Schizosaccharomyces pombe: one gene and its partners. Changing the gene in region 1 together with any one later gene gives a genetic interaction. Each region holds a gene or a part of one and is shown in the gene's direction. Other genes may lie near its edges.

Region 1 (8,369 bases):
TCGTTATAGCTGACATTACTCCTTTACAGACTAGACCTTACTACACAGGTTGTATGGGAGTCACCTGGGGCCTTGCTTCTGTCATGGGTCCTTTAATCGGTGGTGCAATTTCGCAAAAGGCTAGTTGGCGGTGGATTTTCTTCATTAATCTACCTACTGGTGGTCTTTCGCTCGCACTTTTGATTTTTTTCCTCAATCTTGTACCCAAGCCTACAGTTTCGTTTCGCGTGTTTTTACGTGATTTTGACTTTGTGGGCATTATTACCATTACGACTGGTGTTGTGTTGTTTTTAGTTGGTTTGAATATTGGATCTACAACAGGTCATTGGGCCCATGCCAATGTCTTGTGCTATTTAATTTTTGGTATCCTGTGCATTGCCGGTTTTGTTGTCAATGAATTCTATACTACCCGTACTAGAATTATTACTCCCTCGGCATTTAAAACGCTCTCTTTAACATCTGTAATGGTAACATCCTTTTTACATTATTATATTGTCTCAACAATTACTTACTACATCCCAGTATACTTCCAAAACATTAAAGGTGACGGGCCCTTGATGTCTGGCGTTCACACATTATCTCTAGCGGTTGTATCCTCACTTCTTTCTGCTGTTAGTGGTATGGGAATAGGAAAGTTGAAAAATTATCGATATCCAATGATTGGAGGATGGATAGTTTTATTAGCTGGTACCGGTAGTATGATTGCGATATATTATAACACGGACATATCACGTACCATGGGATTCTTGGCTTTGACAGCAGTCGGAACTGGAAATCTATTTCAACCAAATCTCATTGCTGTTCAAGCTTCTGTACCTCCTGCTTTGATAGCGACTTCCTGTTCTGCATTTATGCTGCTAAGAAATATGGGTGCATCTGTGGGAATATCGATGGGAGCGGTAATCTATGATCAGCAACTAACGACACTTTTAAAAGGAACGAAGTATTCTGCAGGGCTATCATACTCTCAAATTGCTTCAATTCCCAACGTAAGCGAAAAGAACTTTGTATTCAATGCCTATGCTAATGCCATTCGTATGATTTGGATTGTAAATTGTCCAGTTGCAGGAGTAGGAATGCTTTTGTCGTTTTTTACAAAGCAAGAGAAGTTATCTCAAAGCGTCACGGAGTACAAAGAAAAGGATAAGGGATTCAAAGATGCTCCTTAAAAACCGTTCTTTTTTTTTAAACCTTTGTGGAAAAATCACTAGACAACCGGTTATCAATTTTTACTTTTTGCTATATTGAAATTATAGCACTGTTGTTTATCTGCTTGAAATTTTCTCCACCTACGTTTAATGATGAAGACGCTTTGCTATTCGACTTCCAATGTTTAATGTTTGCAAGTTTAATTGTAAGCAAGCATAATTTTGATTTGTCCTCCTGATATATCTTTCTATGAATAGTGGATTTTTAGGCAAGTCTTAAATTAGTTAATTGATTAATATGCTCATACGTTCCCTTCGCTTTTGATATTTCGCATTTGCTGGTGCTGTCCACCATACTCAAATTTTATGAACCAATTTTGTATGTGCTGTTACGAGTTATTGCATATCGTCTTTTTTTGTTTTGATGTTTCTTTTTTTTTATTGATTTTTTTCCCCCTGACTTTATTTTCGTTAAGGAATGTTGCAATTTCTCAAATTTAGTTTAGTATACGTTCATATTGAATCGTTGCTACTCATTGTTACTAGTAATATCATTTTTCTATACAGATATGTAAGCATAATATATTTTAACAATTTTAAGGCAAATTCGTGCATTTGACATAATTTCATTCACTCATGAAACCTAATTGTTCTTTTTTAGCGTCGTGTAATCAATTGCATTCAAACGATCAACCAAGATGGGATGACTATGGTAATACGAGGTATATAAAGAATCAAACTCCAAAGGAGAAAGATTGTCATCATGAATGCGTATTAAACCATCACCCAAATCCTTTGCGTACCCTAATTGTTTAGCAAAAGCATCCGCTTGATACTCACAAAGGCGAGAAACTTTGTTGGAGGCAAACGTAAGGATGGAGGATAAAGGACCTAATGCGTCCGAAAAAAGGAGAAGTCCAACAATTACAGGTTTTTCGGTAATGAAATTGAAGGAAGTGTATAAGCTATTATTTCGAATAAAAGCAGCAAATAAGAAGAGGTGGAACAGACTCATTCCGTAGTCTATAATAGTATTAATTAAATTATGAGACATGTACCAATGACCAAGTTCGTGACCAAGAATTGCAATAAGTTCCGGTTCCGTATGATTTTTCACAAGAGTATCAAAAAGTACAATTCCTTTGTTCCATGGAAGCCCATAAAAGAAAGCGTTGGAGTGAGTTGATCTACGACTAGCATCAATCACATAAAGCTTCTTCAAGGGAAAATTGATACTGGCAGCTAACTCTTCAATTTGTGTTCTAAGACTTCCATTTTCAAGCGGTGTAAACTTGTAAAACAAGGGCATAATTAGAGAAGGAGCAATAGTTTGTAAAATGAGGCCAAAAACAATATAGGCACCCCATGCATACATAATAAAATTATCACCAAACTTGGTCAAAATTTTAACGAAAACACCAACGACAACACTCATAAGTAAACCACCAAGGCTTAATTCCTTTAAAAGATCAATTACGAAGATCTTTAAAGTCGATTTATTAAAACCATACTTTTCCTCGATCACAAAGGTTGAGTAAAGATTGAAAGGAATTTGAATTAAACGAGAAAACAGAGTAAGTCCAAACATGAAAACACAGGAATGCGTAATCGAAGTCGATAGACTAAACCTTGAGGATGAAGCAGCTAATTTATCCATCCAAGGAAACTTAGTGATATTCCAAAGGTATGAAAGTCCATCATATTTAATAATCAAAAGATCAACGGCTAAAGTAAATGTGGAAACAATAGTAGAAAACCAACTTTTATCACGAGCATAAGACAATGCTTTTTGGTACTTTTTTTCATCAACGTGTTCAGCTAAAATAGCAGGAGGCTTTTCTCTCAACAAATATGGCACTTGCCTGCGACGAAGATACAAATCCCAGGCATACTTTCCAATAGAAAATCCAGCAATTACTATTTTCCAAGGGAAGCCTGGAATGTCTAAAATGTGCATCAAATGCTATAAAAACGTTAATACAAAGTTTTAAACCCCAAATATATTCATAAAAAATCAACTAATCGTTATATACCTGTAGAATTCCCATTTTACAACAATTGGCAAAACTTCTTGTAGTAGGCTTTGGTGTAGCTTGTATGACTGAAATTTCTTTTAGGAAGCAAAGGCCAGGTGACATAAATAGAGTTCAACTATCGAAGAAAAAACAAAAAGAAGTAATCAAATAGCTTTTTGCGAGAAACATATTGTAACATTCATGTTGCACGCATGCTACCTTGGTGTGCATAAGACCTAGACATTTAATACATAATTTGCGTCCATTAATTCAGTTAAAAATGGATTGTGATTCTGTAAATATTTTTAACAGGCATAACGCATATATCATAGATAACGAAAATGAAATCTCAACTTTTCTTTGTCTATTTAGCCGTTGCATCAACAACATTAAAATTGCCAGATGAAATTAACGAAAATAAAGAATTGGAATATGTAAGTAAAGATAAAATTAATTTTATCTTGAAAAGAACTCGGTGAAGTTATATTCAGAAGCTAAATACTACTATAACAGTATGCTTTTTGGCGGCTTCTTAATGCCTTGGACATGAATTGGAATTCTATTCAAACTAAGCGCAATAGTCTTAATAACTCAACCAGCATAATTAAATTTTAGTAGTTAATGCAGGCAGTTAGTATAAAATGTGTATACAGTTGTTGCTTTATAGTCAGCTAGTTAGCTAATTGTTATAATTAAGCAAAGTATGTAATAATTCGATGTCATCTCATTCGTACAAAACATCTGATTTATAAAGTGTATACTCAGAAGCATATATAATAATTTGGAATGGATCATCGTTATTTTCTATATATTTTGCCATCTTAGCTAAAGATTTTAGTGTAAACTTTGCTAGTTATTCTCCTATTTTCTTTCTGCAGACAACCATATACAGGAAAGGCATTGAAACTTTTATAATATATCATTACAGGCAGTTTATTTCTTTAAAACAGAAGCATATATAGAATAATTTGTCTTGACTGTAATTATATACACTAATTGTGCTTTTCGAGAAGGTATTATTTATTTGACCTCATAAGTTGATGCTCGAATCACGACTTGCGAAGAATATAGCAAGGATTGTTCAGGCCCGTAAGCCCTATTTAATTTCTTATCATGTTCGTGCTTCTACTCAAAATGCCTTACTCAAGCAAACCGTTTTGCAATCTAGCAGCTTCAAGAGTTTTCCTACTCTTCCTAGACTAGCAGCTAGGAATATTTCAAACAGTGGGATATTGTCCCGTACTACACCTGTAATTATTAAGCAAATATCTATGGTTAGAAGTTACTCGTCTGGAGATGTTGAAAACCCTGAGATTCTCAACAAAAATGAATCAAATCAATCTTCCGGCGTTAAAAGGGCAATGCCATTTCGCGTATTAAAAAAAATGAAAAGCTTTCTTTTTAAGCAAAACAAACCCTTAACAGTGGATAATGTTACTGCCTTTTTCAGTTGGTGGCTTGTGAGCCATATAGTTTGGATCGTAGTTGGTACAACAACTTTTTTTTCATTGTTATTGTACACCTTAAACACTGTTTCTGCACAGGAACTATTAGGAAGATGGATTGGTCAGTTAATGACAAAAAATACAGGGTTCCAATTCGTCTTTGAAAGCGCAATTGTTCCCAATTGGAGGAAAGGATTAATCACATTCAACAAAATTTCCGTAATTAGAAGACCTGATACTTTGAATGGCATTGGAGCACAAAATCCGAATAATAAGTCTGATTATGAAAAAGAGTACATGGCTTTACGAAAACGTTATGATTCTAATGAGGAACCTGACACTGAGGCTCTGAGTCAGGGAAACTATACTCAATTTGAGTTATCCATTGATAAGGCAGATGTTTCGTTTAGCTTTGCTAGGTTTTTAAATGGTAAAGGGATTGTTAAGGAACTTCAGCTGAAAGGTGTTAGAGGTGTAGTTGATAGACGGTTTATTGAATGGGATCCATCCTCCGATCCTCGTGATTACCGTCGTAAACACAACTGGGGGGATTTTGAAATCGAAAAATTTAAGCTAGAGGATTTGCGTGTTACTTTATTACAACCTAAAGGTTTTCGGAAGTTCCCCGTTAGTGTTTTCTTTTGTGAGCTTCCTAGGCTTAGAAAACAATGGTTATTTTATGATTTAATGAATGCTAAGACTCTCACCGGAAGCTTTGATAATAGTATGTTTACTATTCATCGATTACAACTTCGTCCATATTCACCGTACCTAAAAGTCGGTAAACAACTCGATGATATGCGACATAGTCGCTTGCGTATTGATAATGTCGCAATCGATCATCTAAATCGAGGTGTTTCGGGAGCATTTGGATGGATTAATGATGGCAGTGTTGATTTTTTAGTTAATATTTCTTTTCCATCAGAACCTTCGGAAAATTCTTTCCAAAAAGCGTGGATAAGTTTGATGGACAAATTGAAAAAGAAAGAAAAAGATGAGGATGTTTACAAAGACGTTCACTTTGATGTTAATGTGCAATTACATAATCCCAAAGCCGTAATTCCTATTTTTACAAATCAAGTAAGCTATATCAACAATGCTTTAATTCGACCTATTATTGCTTACATTAATTCCACACGGACATTCATCCCTATTCTTTGTCATGTATCAAAACCGCTTTCTGACTTTGATGGAAGCTGGACTTTTTACGACAGTGGTGTTTTACAAGAAATTTCGGCGCAGGTAAGTTCTACCCTGTTCCTTACTATAAAAGAGCGTCTTTTCCTAAAATTTAAGAGTAATTTACGCTTTTGAATATTAATAAATACTAATTTTTGATGTAGGTGTATGAATCGTTTGCTCGAGATGTATTAAATCAAGAGATACGAAGAAAACGAATTCAGAAAGTTGGCTACTGGAGTCTTCGGAGGTTTTTGCATTTAGTTTTGGTTTCTTTGCAGGAATTGGCTCCGACAACTTCTTCAATCAGTAATTTCGAATAGTTAAAAGTGATGCTATTTATTATTTACGGTTCTGATTCTCTTCATGAAAGGCTTTTTTGTTCTATCGGTAGTTAAAATTATTATAATAACAATTATTATTTTTGAAAATTGACTAGGGTAAACTAATGACTTAAGCTACTAGCCATATAAATGTCTTATCAAAATTGGCATTTCTGGATCATTTATTCATAACAGGCTAAGGTATTAAATTAAGTAGTCTTATATATATTCGGTAACGAAATTATTTTTACAAACACATTATCTTTTGATACTCAAATTTATTTAGGATGTTGAGAGGTTTGAAATTTAATTTCAGTTCTATCATGCTTTTGGTAATTTTCACGCCTGGCAATCATTTCATCCTGTGATTTAGAGAGTGCGGATGCATAGACGTTTTTATGAAAGTCCGTTGGATCCCACATATCCTTAGATATCATAGTTCCTCTTGGCTCCTTAATATCCAGAAAATCCTGCAAATTATCAAGTAACTTTGGGTTTCTGAAATTTTCATTTTCTGATAGTCTCGTATGAAAATGAATGCCCTTTGCCTTTAATTTTATAAATTGCTTTATCTTTTTCTCCAGCTCTGTGTCAACTTCAGCTTTAGGAGAATTTGGGATTTTCCAATGGGGTTCCTCAGAACGTCCTTTAATATCATTGTTTTCATTTACTAACGAAGTTTGTTCCTCTTCCTCTGAGTCGTAGGCTACCAAAGACATAACTCTTAAAACTCAAAGCATTTAAAGTAGATAGATAGTGTACGGTAGAAGCAAATTAAGTATTGTGCAACCATAGTGGTTGCAAAATATATAGGTTTGCTATTATCATCCAAAAGATGCAGACTTTTTAATTTCCTTAATTAAAACCTAGGAAAGGTAATTTATAAATGCATCTACTGGTTGTTTGTTAACAAGTGTAAAAACCTATAGTTGGACTAGGAGTACATTGCTCGTTCATTTTGAGGTACAAATCACTTTTTAATTACCATATGATAAATCCGTTTTTTACAACTAGTATGTTTGCATTAATAACACAAAACTATCTTTGAACATATCTCAAACCTATTCATTAATAGCGAACGTTTATTCTATTAAGGAGGTGTTTGCAAACCAAACTGAACAGTAACGACGTTACCTCGTCTATACAGTTTATGCATACTAAAGTATGAAATTTCTTGACCATTTTCTTACTACTACTTAGTTGTTACGCTGTTATAGAGGTAATTCTAAATTTCTTTAATAGAGAATCCTTAAACATCGTATTTGTATTCTCTTGTTAAGGATTTTTTATTAAAGTCAACAGCACTCTCGTTGGGAAACGGGACATTGTATTGCTCATTTTGCTCGATTTTGCTGTTTTGGATAACTTTATTAAAGTATGCTTTCTGATGACACATCATTTCGCCAAATCTCAAGTGAGCGTATATTGAATTACACGGTCAACAAATGGATAAACGATGCAACTGGGTTCAGCGTCGCTTCAGTAAAAACTCCAACATCCAGATTACAAGGATCATTTGTAGTAGCAACTGAAGCTCACGATAATCTTGGCTGTCCTCATACCCTTGAACATCTGTGTTTCATGGGCAGTAAAAAGTATCCCATGAATGGCATTCTTACAAAATTTGCTGGCAGGGCATGTGGTGATATCAATGCTTGTACCGATGTTGATTATACTTCATATGAGCTTTCTGCTGCTGAGGAAGATGGATTTCTTCGTCTGTTGCCTGTATTTGCAGATCACATTTTGTCTCCAATTCTAAGCGATGAAGCGTTTTGCACAGAAGTTTATCATATAAATGGTATGGGAGAAGAGTCCGGTGTTGTTTATTCTGAAATGCAGAATACTCAAAGCTCAGAGACGGATGTTATGTTTGATTGTATGAGAACTAGTCAATATCCAGTTACCAGTGGTTACTATTATGAGACTGGTGGTCATCCCAGCGAACTTCGCAAGTTGTCTATCGAGAAAATTAGAGAATATCATAAGGAAATGTATGTTCCAAGCAATATTTGTTTAATTGTGACCGGGTGCATTAACGAATCAAGGCTTCTAAGCTGTGCCTCTGGTATCGTAAAGGAAATTTTAGCTAATGGTATTATCACTCCACCTACGTGGACGCGTCCATGGTGTTCAACTAATGTGGATTACACTATTCCTGAGCCAATTTTGAAAACTGTTAAATTTTCTTCCGAAGACGAATATACTGGATCTGTTTCTTTAGCTTGGAATGGACCCTCGGCCTTAGATGCATACACT
Region 2 (7,694 bases), on another chromosome or scaffold:
TGCCAATTACCTGTATACACCGATATCGATTTTAACTGGAAATTTTTACATTCACAATGGCTACGTAATGTTGCAAATTGTAGATTGTGCATCAGAAGAGTCTCAAATCACATTCATTTCTAAAAGAAAACTACTCTTGTAGTACCATGTTTCCTGCTCCCAGCATTCAATGCCTTTAAATTTGTTTACAACTATGTCAATAATACTTCTGTAACATCTTTTTTTGTAAAAAGGGCAAGTGATTGAACAAGATGCATATAGACAGTAATATATTCAAAATAAAGCTTACAAAACATAATAAGTTGGGATTAAGTCTTAAGCAAATTTAAAACATCGTATACATTAACCCATAGCTGTATATCTTAACAAACTGGGGAATCATGAAAATACGTTGCAAACGATTGAATGAAAAACATACTTGTTCAACTAAGACGGTGCTCATAAGAAAGCGACAATGTATAAAGGATCATGACTAAAGCTTTAGCATGTCAGTAGGTCCTTTCGAAGAGCAAAACAGTCAGTAGCATATTTTATTAACAAAAAAATGAGCAAAGGATTCAACTTAATTAATACAAAGCTTTCAATCCCATCTCTACAGCAGCTGATCCCCAATCATTTCCATGGTTATGGCCACCATTCAAACCTGCACGATAAAGAGCTTGCTCTTCATTTAAAACTGTTAATAGACCTAGAATGACGGGAACACCTGAATCAAGGCCAACGCGCATAAGACCATGAACAACAGCTTCTGAAATATATTCAAAATGCATGGTGGAACCTTTGATTAAAACGCCAATGCCAATAACAGCATCATATGTATTGCGGGCGATGGAAGCACGAATACCTTGAGGAAGTTCCCAACTTCCCGGAACACTTTCAATGTCAATATTCTCCAACTTCACATCATGTTTTTCTATCATGGTCTCAACGGCACCCTTAACAAGAGGCTCAATGGCTTGAAGATTCCAGCGGGCATGGACAATAAGAATGCGCAATTCTGGTCCCTATAAAAAAAATTGATTAGAACTTTTGAATTAACTATTTTCACGAAAAAACTGCGTGAGAAAGAGGAGAAATTTAAAAAAAAAAAGACCAAGCGCTTTTGTAAATAGAACACTTAAGCAATAATTATATCGTGTAGAAAATAAAATAAAATTCGGTATTCAGAAGAAAAGGTTCAACTAAAAAAAAAAAACATATCGAACTTCTTTTCATGGATATAAGTGAAAACAAGCAGCGCTAAATAGGAAACGCAAAGAAAACACCGCAAGTTCATATTTTTGATTCATACCTTTAAGTCTGAAGGGTTAGGGCCTTTAATACCACTGAACATGATTATTTACTTGATTAAATAGTTGTGAAGACTATACAGAAAAATGCAGCAAGTTTGGTGTGCGTGTGCTTTATAAGCTGCAGCAAGAACTGATTTACAGAATCAACAGATCTAATACTTAAGGTTCTAGAAATGTTGATTTCTAATTAATTTTTTAATTTTAGTCATGAAATTACTATCTGATGAGGCAGGTATAATACTGGAACATAGATTACTAATAGTCACCCCATTAACGTCGTTTATTAATATGTCGAGGCTGTCGTAGATGCAAATGTCTCATTTTTACTAAACAGTTTGTTCATTTGAACAAAAAGAAAGGAAAAAATAATGAATAGTATCAATAAGCAAAACGATGAATACACACATTTCCAATTTTTTTTGAAGTTCGGATTCAAAAACCGTTACAATTTAATAAATGTCGAGTACATTGATTTATACAGTAATCAAATATTCATTAATTCTTATTCAGATCATAAAGAGAATTTCATCCGAGAACGAATGGCACACTATGGGTTTCATCACACAATATCATAATAGAAACAGAAACAATAAGTATTAAACCAGCGAATGTAAGAAGATTCAGAAATAAATCTTTTTAATTACTAACCAAGCGCCTCCGTTCTAACCAGCGAGCCCATGCTAAATCCAAGGGTTAGTATACAATAAATGTACAGAAGTTTAAGGATGTAGAAAAGGTTAAGAATGAAAGACTAATAGAACAGTAATGGAAACAAAAATGTTTAAAAAATAACGAAAGATGTAAATGTAGACCAACAAGCAGACCATTTAAAAACAGTTTATAGGAAGAAAAAGCTATAATTCAAGCTGATGGAATAAGAAAATCAGTTGTGCTCAATCTTTCTCCAAAAACGGATTTTTTTGCTCTATTATTCAATTATTTGCAAAACTTATTTCCTCTTTGAGAAACTAAAAGCAAATAAAAAAAATCCACCATCTATTCCTATTCCTTTAATTTATACTAACTTACCATGAAATGCGAATTTACGACCAAGAAACTTTCCTAACAACGGGAACACCACCAAACATAAAACTCGTTCCAATTGTTCAATGGAATCCTTTAAATCATCATCCAATTCACTAGAATAGGTATCATCTTCTCCATCTGAAATTGGGTCAATTTCAAGATCTAAAACTTCGGCCATGTTGTTTTCACTAAACTGACTTTAGAATAGTTCGATTGAACTAGCAACGTTGTATTTAGAATTTAATTAAAAAATTTTTCTATTGTCAGCAATCGAAACCCCTTTAACGTATGCTTAAAAGTGTATTATTACCAAGTATGGCTCTGGTGAAGGTCACATAGTGGCTGTTACATTTATACATAGGACATTTGTCGAAACAACATTGATCATGTGAGACTAAATTTTGAAAACAGGGAGTATATTCAGCAAAAATAATTCATATTCACTGATGATAAGAGGTTATTTGTTTCTATATGCTTTACCTATGAGTTTGGGTACATTGTTTGTATTCTTGGTATTGCTAGTTTATTCAATTTCAGATGAAAGCTGAGCAGAACAGCCGCTGTCATGCTATTCGCGGATACCCTTTGTTTCACAACAAATATTTCGACCTAAGAAAAGCCTTTATTTTTGCCATCCTTACCTCTAAGTGCTTTGTTTGGTAACACTTTATTGAAGAATTGATAGACCGTTATAAACATAAAACAAAAAAAAGTTGGGAGTTTTGGTTTTTTTTAGTTACTCTTTTAAAGAATGCATTTTTCCACGAGGTTTCTTGATCGAACACAGTAGGAGCAATATAATTTATCTTCAAAACAGTTGAATGTGAAACATCAATAACTGAAGAAGTTTGGTTTTCATACCTCCTTGCGTATTCCCTATTCATAAATAAATCATATAATTTAGAATTATCCGGTATATGAAGATAGGAATTTGTGTGCTAGAATTTAGCAAGATATAAACAATGCACATTGGTGTGACATTTACAAAATTGGTTGACGAATTCTGTACTCTCACTTTTTGTCAGTAGACGTCTTTTTTAGGATCTTCTCTCAAATTCAATTATAACTAAGTTGCGTGAAACCAGACTAAATTCAATTGATAAAGTTGTTTAGTCAATTAGCATTTTTTATAACAGCATCAATGCATGTCCTAATAAAGAGTTAAGATATTTTTTTTCCTTTTAATCTTACTGTAGAAACTTAAATAGTTATTATCCTCGTAGAATTGCTCTATCCTTATTACGCGCACTCAGGAAGATGAAGACTTCACAAACACCAAATCATTGCTTAATTTTCGAAAACGCTGCGATTGTTGTTGATAGTTGACCAGAAGCATACTAATTTTTATTTACTTATATACTTGAAAAATTGCAAATCATATGGTTGAAAGTCTTTAAGGGAATGACCTAATAAATGCTAGAAAATGAAAATCAACTAACGCATCAATTTCCTACATTATCAAGATGGAACCCCATGTTTATTAGCGATGTTCATAAAATTTCATTTCATCCACATTTACAGCGTAAGTGCTCTTTCTGTAAAATAAATATCACAAAGTGATTCTTACAAATATCTAGGATACATTGGCTTCTGGATGGGATTTCCCATAAGATGGATTCAAATTGTTGGCTATATTGCGGCAATTGATATTTATGAAGGAAAGCATGTTTTAACAGGTAACGAATATCAGCATTGAGGCAATAAGCAGTTCCACTACTGCATACACGACTCATTTAGTTGTTGAATCTAGTTAAGGTTTTTTATAAAATCAACTTTTGAGAAGCATCTGCCTCTATAGCTCCCTTTTTTCTATTTCCTAACTGAATTTAGTGGATGATTGTAGCGGGATGGTATTGCGTGTCGTGTTTATTATTCAAGATGATTTTTCAATGTCAAAAAGAGCAATATCTATGTCTCCTGGAAATGTTGTCTGTGTCTTTGGAAAGATAAATTCTTTCCGATCTGAGGTTGAATTAATTGCTCAGTCGTTTGAAGAACTTCGTGATCCAAATGATGAATGGAAGGCATGGCAGAAAAGGATGAGATACAAAAAAAATTTAACCAAAATCTCTAAAAATCACCATTCAATCATTCGCACACCCAAGAAATCCTATTTTCCTAAAGATCATGCGAAGGAGTTACTTAAGTGCATAAGGCAGATGTGTAAATTAAATGTGCAAGCTGGATTTACAATTGAAGAACTCATTATTTATTTAAAAGCAAAAGAGTTGCACCTCCCACTTGTTCATATATTCAACGTCGAAAATGAAATAGTAGAGAACTGTGATGGAAATCACATACTGGCGCTTAATTTCTCTTTGCAAACATTACTACAACATGGGCGGATTGTGAGAAAGTCAAATTCAGTTTATATGCTTGTCACTTCAAAAGACATAATACGCTTTGTGATTCCTCTGATGGCAAGTGGTCTTCTCGAAGCCCACAAGGTTCAAAGCATAGTGAGAGATTCCAACCCAATGTTTATCACACTCCCTCTTTCTGCGATTGCTAAACACATTTGTCAATTTTTGCTTCGTACAAAAGGGAAATGGAGGCAAGCAAAGAAATATACCTGGGTGCGAGATAATCAGTTTGTATAAAATGAATTTCCAGTTTCCTTTAATATCACATTGACGCGGAGATTTAATTGCCTAAAACTAAGTTCATTGTTCTATATGCAATATTACAATCCTCTATTAATTTAAGAATATGTTTACGGAAACAGATCAATAAGTACACATGGGTATATAAGCGGTTAATCTGATGATGAAATAGATTTACATGTATAAAGCTTTCTTTTTTACTTTTGAATTGATCAGTAGCATCATTGCATCAAATTTAATTAATGGTCAGCACCAATTCATCAGCTGCTTATACAATCTAGGGTAAAGAAATATAACTAAGCATGATAATAAGTTACTCTTAATTTCCTGAAGTTCAAACTTGAAATGCTTTGCATCGCTTACTGGCCTAAGCATCGTACTTCGATTATTATAGTTGGAAGTCATGAGGATAAAACTATGTCTTTTCTGATCATGTCGTAAAATCTAGCTGCTCTTCATACTGAAATTGGAATATTAGATAAGATTTAACTACTAAAAAAAAAGATTAAGGCATCCGATTGCCAATTGTATAGATTGCAATGATGCTCCTTACTGCTTTGAAGTTGAGTAAAAACGAGATAAGCCCATAAACTTATGCAATTTATTTTAGTTGTTTTTAACTACTAAATTGACACTTCATATTGGTGGTTGTTATTTTTTTTTAGGTATCGAAGAATTGCTTATGGTCGTAGAGTTATGTCAATCTATTAATTGATCCAGTATTCTCGCACTGGGAGATCACACATCGAATAAAATTTATTTCGTTTCAATAAGCAACAATAAATATAATAATTGGTTTCTTTAAGCTCGTATTATGCCGCAAAATCTATATTTCAAAATTTAATCCTCATAATAAGCTACGCATAAATTATACTAAATTTTAACCAGGCAAAGGTTGTTACGCGTGGCGCAATGGTAGCGCATCTCATTCCTATACGACCTGATCGTTGTTGGGGAGTGAATTACGAGAAGGTTGCGGGTTCGAGTCCCGTCGTGTAAGATTGTTTTTATGAAGGAAGCTTCATTATAACCTCCTTAAAAAATTTAAATTTCAATATCATACTACACACAATGATATTGTGGTATTTTGTTTTGCTCATGAAATATTACCAAAATTTATATTATCTTAACTGATTAATATGTTTGGTATTATTGTATGAAAAATACTACTCTAGCTCCTTCATGCTAAGGGGCCTTTTGAATTGCAGAATATCTTTCCAGTTCGAGTAATTCATATGAAGATTTGATTTTTAAGAGGTTATTGGGAATACGTTTACTTTCATTCAATCGCGACTTTATTTCTAAGTGTGCTATTCATTAACTCAATAAAAATTTCGCAACCTGTGTTTTTTCTTCATATTTTGTATGTTGGTTCTCTCTGGGCTACCCTGTTGTATATTTGAAAAATAAACTGTTTACTGTACACATTACTCCTTGTTATACATTAGGATGTTTTTCTTTGTGTAAATTATTTTGTTGCTGTATCCGATGTACTAACAGTTTGGTATTATTACTATCGAATAATGTTTTAAAAACAAAATCATTTCATTAATTATTATTTACATTGTGATGTACATGCATTGGCAGACCAGCTTGGCATATTTTAACGAAACCTCCAGTCGTTTAGTCAATTGAATCTATACCAACAAATTGGTCTCCAATTGACAAGTAGGAAGTTCGTAAATTTGATTTTCTTCATCATTTCGGACGGAGATTATGTCTGACCATTCTGTGATATTGTTTTCTTCTTCCTCGGCTTGAAGCTCCGATATAAAATTCTCAATTAGATTTTTCCAAGGTTGTGTATTTAGTGTCTTTTCTGCTTCACCTTCTCTATTCGTCAAATTTGTTGAGTCTTCTGTTTCGCATTTGGCGTCATCGAGAAATTTTATGGCAATGTCCCTAATAGCAGTACTCGTAGTTCGTTGCTTTCTAATGTTCTCCTTTAAGTTCTTTTTCCTTGTTTTTTGCGACTCTCGAGATGTGCAGGCTTCACCCATTTCTAGCAGATGAATCATCTCTTCTTGAAAAAATTGTGAAAGTTTTTCCTGTACTTGGTAACTTGTTTCCTTTTTAGGACTTTTGGGATCTTCTTCGTTTATGCTAACATACTTTTCAATGCTTATGGCTTCCGGGGCAGCAAAAGCGTCATCATAATTCGTGCCATTTTGATCTAATCCAGAATCGTAGAGAACGGATGGACCCTCATTTTCGCGCAATTCATGAATAAACTCATTCTTGTCATAACCAATTTCTTTGTATAGTTCCCTAATTTTTGAAGTCCTTTTAGTCTTGGAGTAAAGCTCTGAAACATCATTTTCTCTGTGCCTTTCCTTTGCGAAATTGCCAAAGTCAACATTGGGAGCAGTTCTTGAGCTAAGATATTTATGGGAAGCTTTTTTAGACTTCCTCTTTTTGCTAATAGGTTTCTGGGTATTATCTTCATTTTTTAAACGTGCGATTCTATGTTTGGAGTCATTGGAACATAATGTCTCATTGCTTTCTTTTGTGGTGGTCATTTCGAGACTTTTAAGGCTATATTCTTTAGTGCCTTTCTTTATTTCTTGTAAATTTGATGCGATGTCTAGTTGAATAAATCCAGGCTGAAAGGTTTGCAGTACGCCATCCTCGCAAAATGTTTTGAAGAGTTGAGCGCATAAAAACGTTTTTTCTATCGCTTTATCGGATTTTTCGCATATTGTTTTTCTAATGAGTTCTTGCATATTCGTTTCATAAAACCTATAACGATTTGGATTTGATGTAAAATTTACTA
Region 3 (6,366 bases), on another chromosome or scaffold:
AGAGGAAGCACTTAAGTTGAGCAATGAAGAAACCGTAACCTTGACCGCACAAGTAGAAAGCTTAACGCAAGATATAACAGATTTGAGACAGCAAAATGCTTCGCTTGTTGAAGAAAATCAATTGTTATCGACTCAATCAAAACAATGGGAAAGAAGAGCCAGAGATGAACATGAGATGCAAGAATCATTGGCCGTTCGATTGGCAGATTGTGAAGAGCAGCTAGCTAGAGAAACTGAAAGACAAGAGCAGTATGAAGTTGAAATTCAACGTCATTTGACAAATCAGCATCAACTAGAAATTGAATTAGAATCCACCAAAGCTTCCCATACTGAAAACCTCGGTGAACTTACCAGAAATTGGCAGAAGGCCATGGACGACGTGACTGAGAAATTCGCTTCTAAATCAAAAGAGTACGAAGATTTGCAAAATGAGTTAGATGCTACACAGAAAAGGCTTTCAAGGGTCTCTGATTTGGAGCACGAGGTGAAAGAAAAAACCCTACTTATTGGTAAACTGCAGCACGAGGCCGTTGTTTTGAATGAACATCTTACAAAGGCTCTCTGCATGCTTAAAGATGGAAATAATGCAGAAAAAATTGACAAACAACTTATTTCTAATTTGTTTGTCTCCTTTTTGACGCTTCCTCGCGCTGACACTAAACGTTTCGAAATATTGCAATTAATTTCTTCCGTGTTAGATTGGAACGATACGCAAAGGGAACAAACGGGACTTCAACGTCCTGGTTCCTCTGTAAATAATTGGAGTATTCCTCACAGTGCGTCCTCTAACTCTCTATTCTCCGATCATTCCTTTTCCAAAAGACGTTCTTTCCATGACTCATAATTTTCTTCCACACTAACCGATAATTTTACGTTTCAATTGAGCAATGGTATGAAAGATTTTTCTTTTTTCTGTAAATAATAATATCTTTCGCTCTTTTTATGTATCGCTTTTTTTTTTCTTACTTCACAACTTAATTAGGGGTTACCTTTTGCCGCGCGTACAAGGTTTTAGTATTTTTTTACTCTCTTTTCACACATTTTGAAGGTTGACTATATCATTCTTGAAGTAATAGTTTCATACGTTCATTTTGATATTTTGCCTTCTCCTGCTATGCCTAGCTTTATGGCAAAAGCGCTTGTTGCAATTTCATCTATTAGTCAATATTCTTAATTTTCAAAATTGTTTGTTAATATCAGTTTTTTCGAAGAATTTTAAAAATATCATTTTATTTTAATCACTCAGGTCATAGTTATGGTCTGTATTACTAGTATGCAAAAGCAACATAGCTATATGCAAAGTAACTAATCATTATGAAGACATTATTATGAAAATTTATTTTTCGGCTCATTAGAATCCTTCTTTATCTGTGTAAAAACACCATCACGAAACCATTTGTTGGCCTCTTCTACTTTTTGTTGTCGTTGAAGTAAGGGGTTCACTAGTTCAATGCCTTGAATAGGTGTGAAGGATAATGAACTTTGTAAACCGCTTGCAGCAAGGGGATTCTTCTGTGCCATTGATTGTAGTTGGGCCTTCCGCGCTTTTGGTAACCGTAATTTAGTTCGAGAATCAATTGACACTGCACGAATTTTTCCTTCACCTTCTTGACCAAGCATACCAAGACCTTCCGTTTCGTCAAAATTAAAGACTTCCGCCTCCTCCTTACCAAAGGCGACGCGATTCTGTAATCTCCGCAATTCCGTTACGGCATATTGCTCTTTCATCTTGCGAATTCTTCTTCCTCCACGACGACGTTTTGGCCTATCGTCAGGAACGGGTAGCGCAACAGTTGGTTTCTGTGATGGAGGTTCCAAAAGCTTTTCAATTTTCCGTTCAACTTCCTTTCGAGCAGATATGCCAAATGAGCCATCAGGATATTCATGAATGGAATCGATTCTTGCTGCTAAAGCAACTTTAGCAGCAGTCATTCGGATAGCTTGCTTTCGTACATCAGGAGGGGTCTTTTGAACAATTTCCGACATATACAAAAATCCATAATCCCCACTAACAGCCGGATTGTTAATACCAATTGTTGTCAGCCTCCTTTTTCCGAGCGCTGGTAAATTGCAAGCAGGAAACTTTCCAAGTCTAGTCAATCCTCCTGCAATGCCGATTAAATTGGCAGCTGTGGTAGAACCCACGACTGCAGACAAATTAGGAGCTACGACACTAATTCTTGATTGGACATATTCAATAATTTTTTGCTTTTCTTCACCCAATTGCTGAATTGCCTCACAGCAATTTTTAACGTTTTTTATCATTTCATCTGGAAGAGGCTTTCCCACTGTTGTCGTTGCTGTTGTAGCAATAACCATCACTGTAGCAGAAGGAAGAAAGGAAAGTTTGGTTTTGCTGTTGTCTAAATCATTTAACAGAGAACTAACAGTTTTGCAATAGTCAAAGGCATTCAAGACCAAACTACTTAATTCAGGAAATCGGTCATGATACCATTCCTTCACGAGTCTGTGCAGCCGCAGGATTTCATCGTCAATTTCCATCGCAATTGAATTAGAATCCACGATAAGGTGATATTCGAGATCATCTTCGATGTTTCCAGTGATAGCTTGTTTTTCGGTGCCTTTATATTTCTCAGTTCCTTCTATGATATCGCGAAGACGTGTAGAATTCAACAGCTGATAAATGTTCTCATTATTGTCATTAAATTTATTAGCAACTTCACTAGGCAATTTTTGAGCAGAATCGCTAATTTTGGTAATATCCAAATCGTTTTCTAATTCAGCAGAAATGCCATTTCCTTCCTCTAATTGTAACTCTAACCGCCTTTTCTTCGCATCTGGCCCAAGTTCATCAGTAATTGTAGATTCTGTAGTTTCCTCAATATCATCAAGATCAGCTAATAATTCATCTGCCAGTGACATTATATTGGTTAAAATCCTTGCCTAATGAAAAACTTTTTGTCAAGCGTAGTTGCCAGAAAAAGAAAAAAAAATAACAAAGCTGGTTCTGGAAGTCTAAGATTTCACTAAAAAAAAGACTAATGAATAATTCAAAAATAGGACGTAATCAGCAAACGCCAGGATAGTAATGTACAAAATAGATGTATGTGGCTATTTAATAGAACTGCAACTTTTTATAGGCTTAATAGCACTAATCGTGCAAATTTGAAGATTAATGCAAATAAATAAGTAAAAATAAGATTCAAATTCGCTTTATTGACAAGTTCCAAGTGGAGTGTCAAACTTGAACTGGCATGGGGTATTTTGCTTAGTGCTCTACACATACTAGACAACCACGTTACTACGGTCATAGGGAATTGGGATCGAAAACTGCTTGATTCATTTCTTCAAGTTTGTTAAATTTTTTTCGTTCATTTTTTTTTTCCTTGACAAGGAAATTGGTTTAATTGATCTGGAGAAAATTCATTCATTCAACAGTTTGGAAAAGTATCAAGATTACTGAATCCAACTATGTCGTCCTCTGTTAGTGAAGAATGTACCCCTGCTAAGGTAGAGTTTTCTTTATATGATAAACACTGTGGACGAATTTTAGCTGACTAAATTATGAACAGAAGAAGTATGATGCCTGCTTTAACGATTGGTATGCGAATAAATTCTTAAAAGGTGATCTCCATAATAGAGACTGTGATGAGCTCTTTGCCGAGTACAAATCATGTCTTTTGAAGGCTTTGAAAACGAAAAAAATAGATCCTCTTCTTGAAGCAGCACGCAAAGAAGATTAAAGTAAGAGCATCTTTGGATATATGATTTTTAAGGTTGCTTTGAAAGATAGCAGTACCATGGAATAAAGCTCTTCTTTTAAAACGGGTGAAAAAGTGATAAGCATCTGTGCAATTGTAAGTTTATCAGAATTGTAGGTAACGAAATATCTCTGCCATGAAGCAAGTATACACTTCTAAAGGTGTTGTTTAAGAACATATGATTCGGCATATCCTTTTGCTGGCAAACCAATAATTCTCTAAAAGGGTAGTTGACTAAGATCATACTAAGTAAAATGATATGAACATCTTTTCATTGGACTCACCTTTGTAGAAAACTTGTAAGAATATACTTATAATCAAAGAATTGAATGGTATTCCTTCTTAATTAGTCTATTTTCACTTCGACATGCAAAAACATTATTTTGGCAAAAATTCGACACCAGCAGGATTTGAACCTGCGCGCGGAGACCGCAACAGATTTCTAGTCTGTCCCTTTAACCACTCAGGCATAGTGTCCAAGTCTGTCACTAAAAAATATATAACATATACATATTAACTACATCAGTCGCAGTTAAACAATAAAAATTTGAATGAATGAAAAAAAATACTGTAAATGTCAATTGATTTTTATCATTTTTAAATAAATAAAATTTGTAACTGTTAAGTCAAATTTCGAACCTCTACGTTTAGGAAAAGCTTTGCATGAATGTTCAGTATTTTCTTTATTAGTTTTGGAACTATTGTATTCAAAAGTACACTGAGTCCAGTAGTAATCAGTTCTGTTGAGAATTTCATACTATTGATTGTAATTGATATACGGTATTAAGAAGCTGAAAGTTGAAGTGCAGTCAATTTCCTTTGTAAAACATGTCTTTCATAGTTAGGTAGCAAATTGGTATATTAGAGTTTAATTGCAGATTATTAATCAAAAACAAATTTTTACCTAAAATATTATGCGTTACGCCAAATTTTGAGTCGTTAACCTAGCAATTGCACAAGGGCAAACAATAAAAACGAGTGGGTGATGGAATTAATAAGACCAGGTTTGTTTTTGCTAGCTTCTGCAGCGCAGTTTATTTATAGAAAATATTGTTATTATTTTTAGTTAATGAAAATTTGGGTTTTTTTATATATAATTTTCCTAAGAGTCGTATTTACATATATATAAACAAAAATATTAAAAATCGAAATACTTATCTCTAAAGAAATACATGTCAAAGCAAATCATTTTACAAATAAAGAAATTGCCTAAAAAAATTAAATCTCTTTCTAGCAGCCCATGAGTAATTTTATGCACACCATAGAGCACATTACTGTTTGTTTTGTTTTCTGGAGTGTACCAAGCATTTATAAATTGGTAACACAAAGCAAATACGTTCTTAAATGTAAGGTCGAAGGAAAGTGACTAGCAAGCTCAATTGTTCTTTTAGTGTATAATAGAACAGACATAATCTTCTCGAAATCTTATATGTTTAAAAGCTTTTTTTTTCTGCGTTATAAAATCATGCCTTTGTTTAAGGAAATAAATTGAGATTTTTTATTAATTTGCATTTTAAATTTGCTAGATTTTTTTTTTTTTGTTCATTCAATTGTCAAGGTCCAATGTTTACAGACGCGTAAACAAACAAATGTGACGTGGCGAAAGACGCGTATAAAAAACCCATTATTCTTCTTTTAACATTCCTTTAAATTAAGATCCCCAAAACATTTTCAAAATGGGCTCGCTACCTGATCAATCGTCTTGTGAAGAGTTTACTGATTCGCAACAGGATAAGATGACAAAACTGCTTGCTATGCAACTTGGCCCAGAGTATATTTCTCGCCGAAGTGGTCCAGGAGGAGGATCTGTTACATACTTAGAAGCATGGAAAGCAATTGAGCTCGCAAATGAAATATTTGGATTTAATGGGTGGTCTTCTTCCATTCAAGACATTCATGTCGATTATGTAAGTGTTAATTTTGCGTCAAAATTCTACGAAAAAAGTGCAAATCGTATCAATTCTTGAGCCTATATTTATTTATTTTTACTAATCATTATTAAAAGGTAGAAGAAACGAAAGAGAAAAAGTTTAATGTTGGAATCAGCGTTATTGTACGCGTTACATTAAAGGATGGCTCCTTTCATGAGGTAAACAAAACATGTCCTCAGTAATATTTCGTGATACCGGTTAAATTAATTATAGCAAATGGTATTTTTTTCGAAATAATTCATAACTTTTTCGTTCTTAACTATTCCATATCAGATTGTGGCCAATTTCTTGCTAACAAATGGTTTTTCTAGGACGTTGGATATGGATCTATAGAGAATTGTCGAGTGAAGGCATTAGCTTACGAAAAATGTAAAAAGGAAGGAACTACGGACGCATTAAAGAGAGCTCTTCGAAACTTTGGAAGTAGCATGGGTAACTGCCTTTACGACAAACGCTATATTCAAAAAATCTTGAAAATGGCACCTGCCCAGGTAATATGGAAACACATAAAATTTAAAAATAATTAAGCTGACAGAAATGCAAAATTAGGCTGAGTTCAACTACGACAACCTTTTACGCGCAAACAAAAGACCCTATGCACGGTTCGCTCAGAAAGTATCTACCCCTATAGAAAGCCATGCAAATAAAAGTGTTAAGCTAGAACATAAAAATTCAATAGAGAAGAAAATTTCCAATGTGGATAAACCTATATC

Evidence for each region.
Region 2: mutations in mdm31 (region 1) and stn1 together harm fitness more than expected from each alone (negative genetic interaction), as found in Schizosaccharomyces pombe (one large-scale study listed by BioGRID).
Region 3: of mdm31 (region 1) and mdm35, a mutation in one rescues a mutant of the other (synthetic rescue), as found in Schizosaccharomyces pombe (one large-scale study listed by BioGRID).

The regions. Positions count from the first base shown.
Region 1 is NC_003424.3:1,933,817-1,942,185, reverse strand, and holds mdm31 (protein Mdm31), read left to right. Parts: upstream 1-4,037; 5' UTR 4,038-4,203; coding exon 4,204-5,850; intron 5,851-5,951; coding exon 5,952-6,110; 3' UTR 6,111-6,223; downstream 6,224-8,369. Other genes in the region: SPOM_SPAC3H1.06C (transporter), read left to right, coding at 1-1,169; ste24 (putative CAAX prenyl protease), read right to left, coding at 1,792-3,111, 3,182-3,196; mug151 (transcriptional regulator HCNGP-like protein), read right to left, coding at 6,389-6,829; sdd3 (metallopeptidase), read left to right, coding at 7,488-8,369. UniProt on the Schizosaccharomyces pombe protein: Involved in the organization of the mitochondrial membranes and the global structure of the mitochondria. Also required for mitochondrial distribution and mobility as well as for the maintenance of mitochondrial DNA nucleoids structures.
Region 2 is NC_003423.3:1,159,120-1,166,813, reverse strand, and holds stn1 (telomere cap complex subunit Stn1), read left to right. Parts: upstream 1-3,731; coding exon 3,732-3,840; exon of another isoform or gene 3,841-3,895; coding exon 3,896-3,994; exon of another isoform or gene 3,995-4,124; intron 4,125-4,148; coding exon 4,149-4,918; 3' UTR 4,919-5,329; downstream 5,330-7,694. Other genes in the region: rib4 (6,7-dimethyl-8-ribityllumazine synthase), read right to left, coding at 567-1,004, 1,292-1,333; protein mim2, read right to left, coding at 1,929-1,972, 2,322-2,496; protein meu18, read right to left, coding at 6,559-7,694.
Region 3 is NC_003423.3:740,637-747,002, forward strand, and holds mdm35 (protein Mdm35), read left to right. Parts: upstream 1-3,432; coding exon 3,433-3,471; intron 3,472-3,533; coding exon 3,534-3,704; 3' UTR 3,705-4,001; downstream 4,002-6,366. Other genes in the region: golgin protein Rud3, read left to right, coding at 1-844; U4/U6 x U5 tri-snRNP complex subunit Prp31, read right to left, coding at 1,327-2,883; rti1 (DNA repair and recombination protein), read left to right, coding at 5,399-5,629, 5,728-5,811, 5,965-6,144, 6,203-6,366.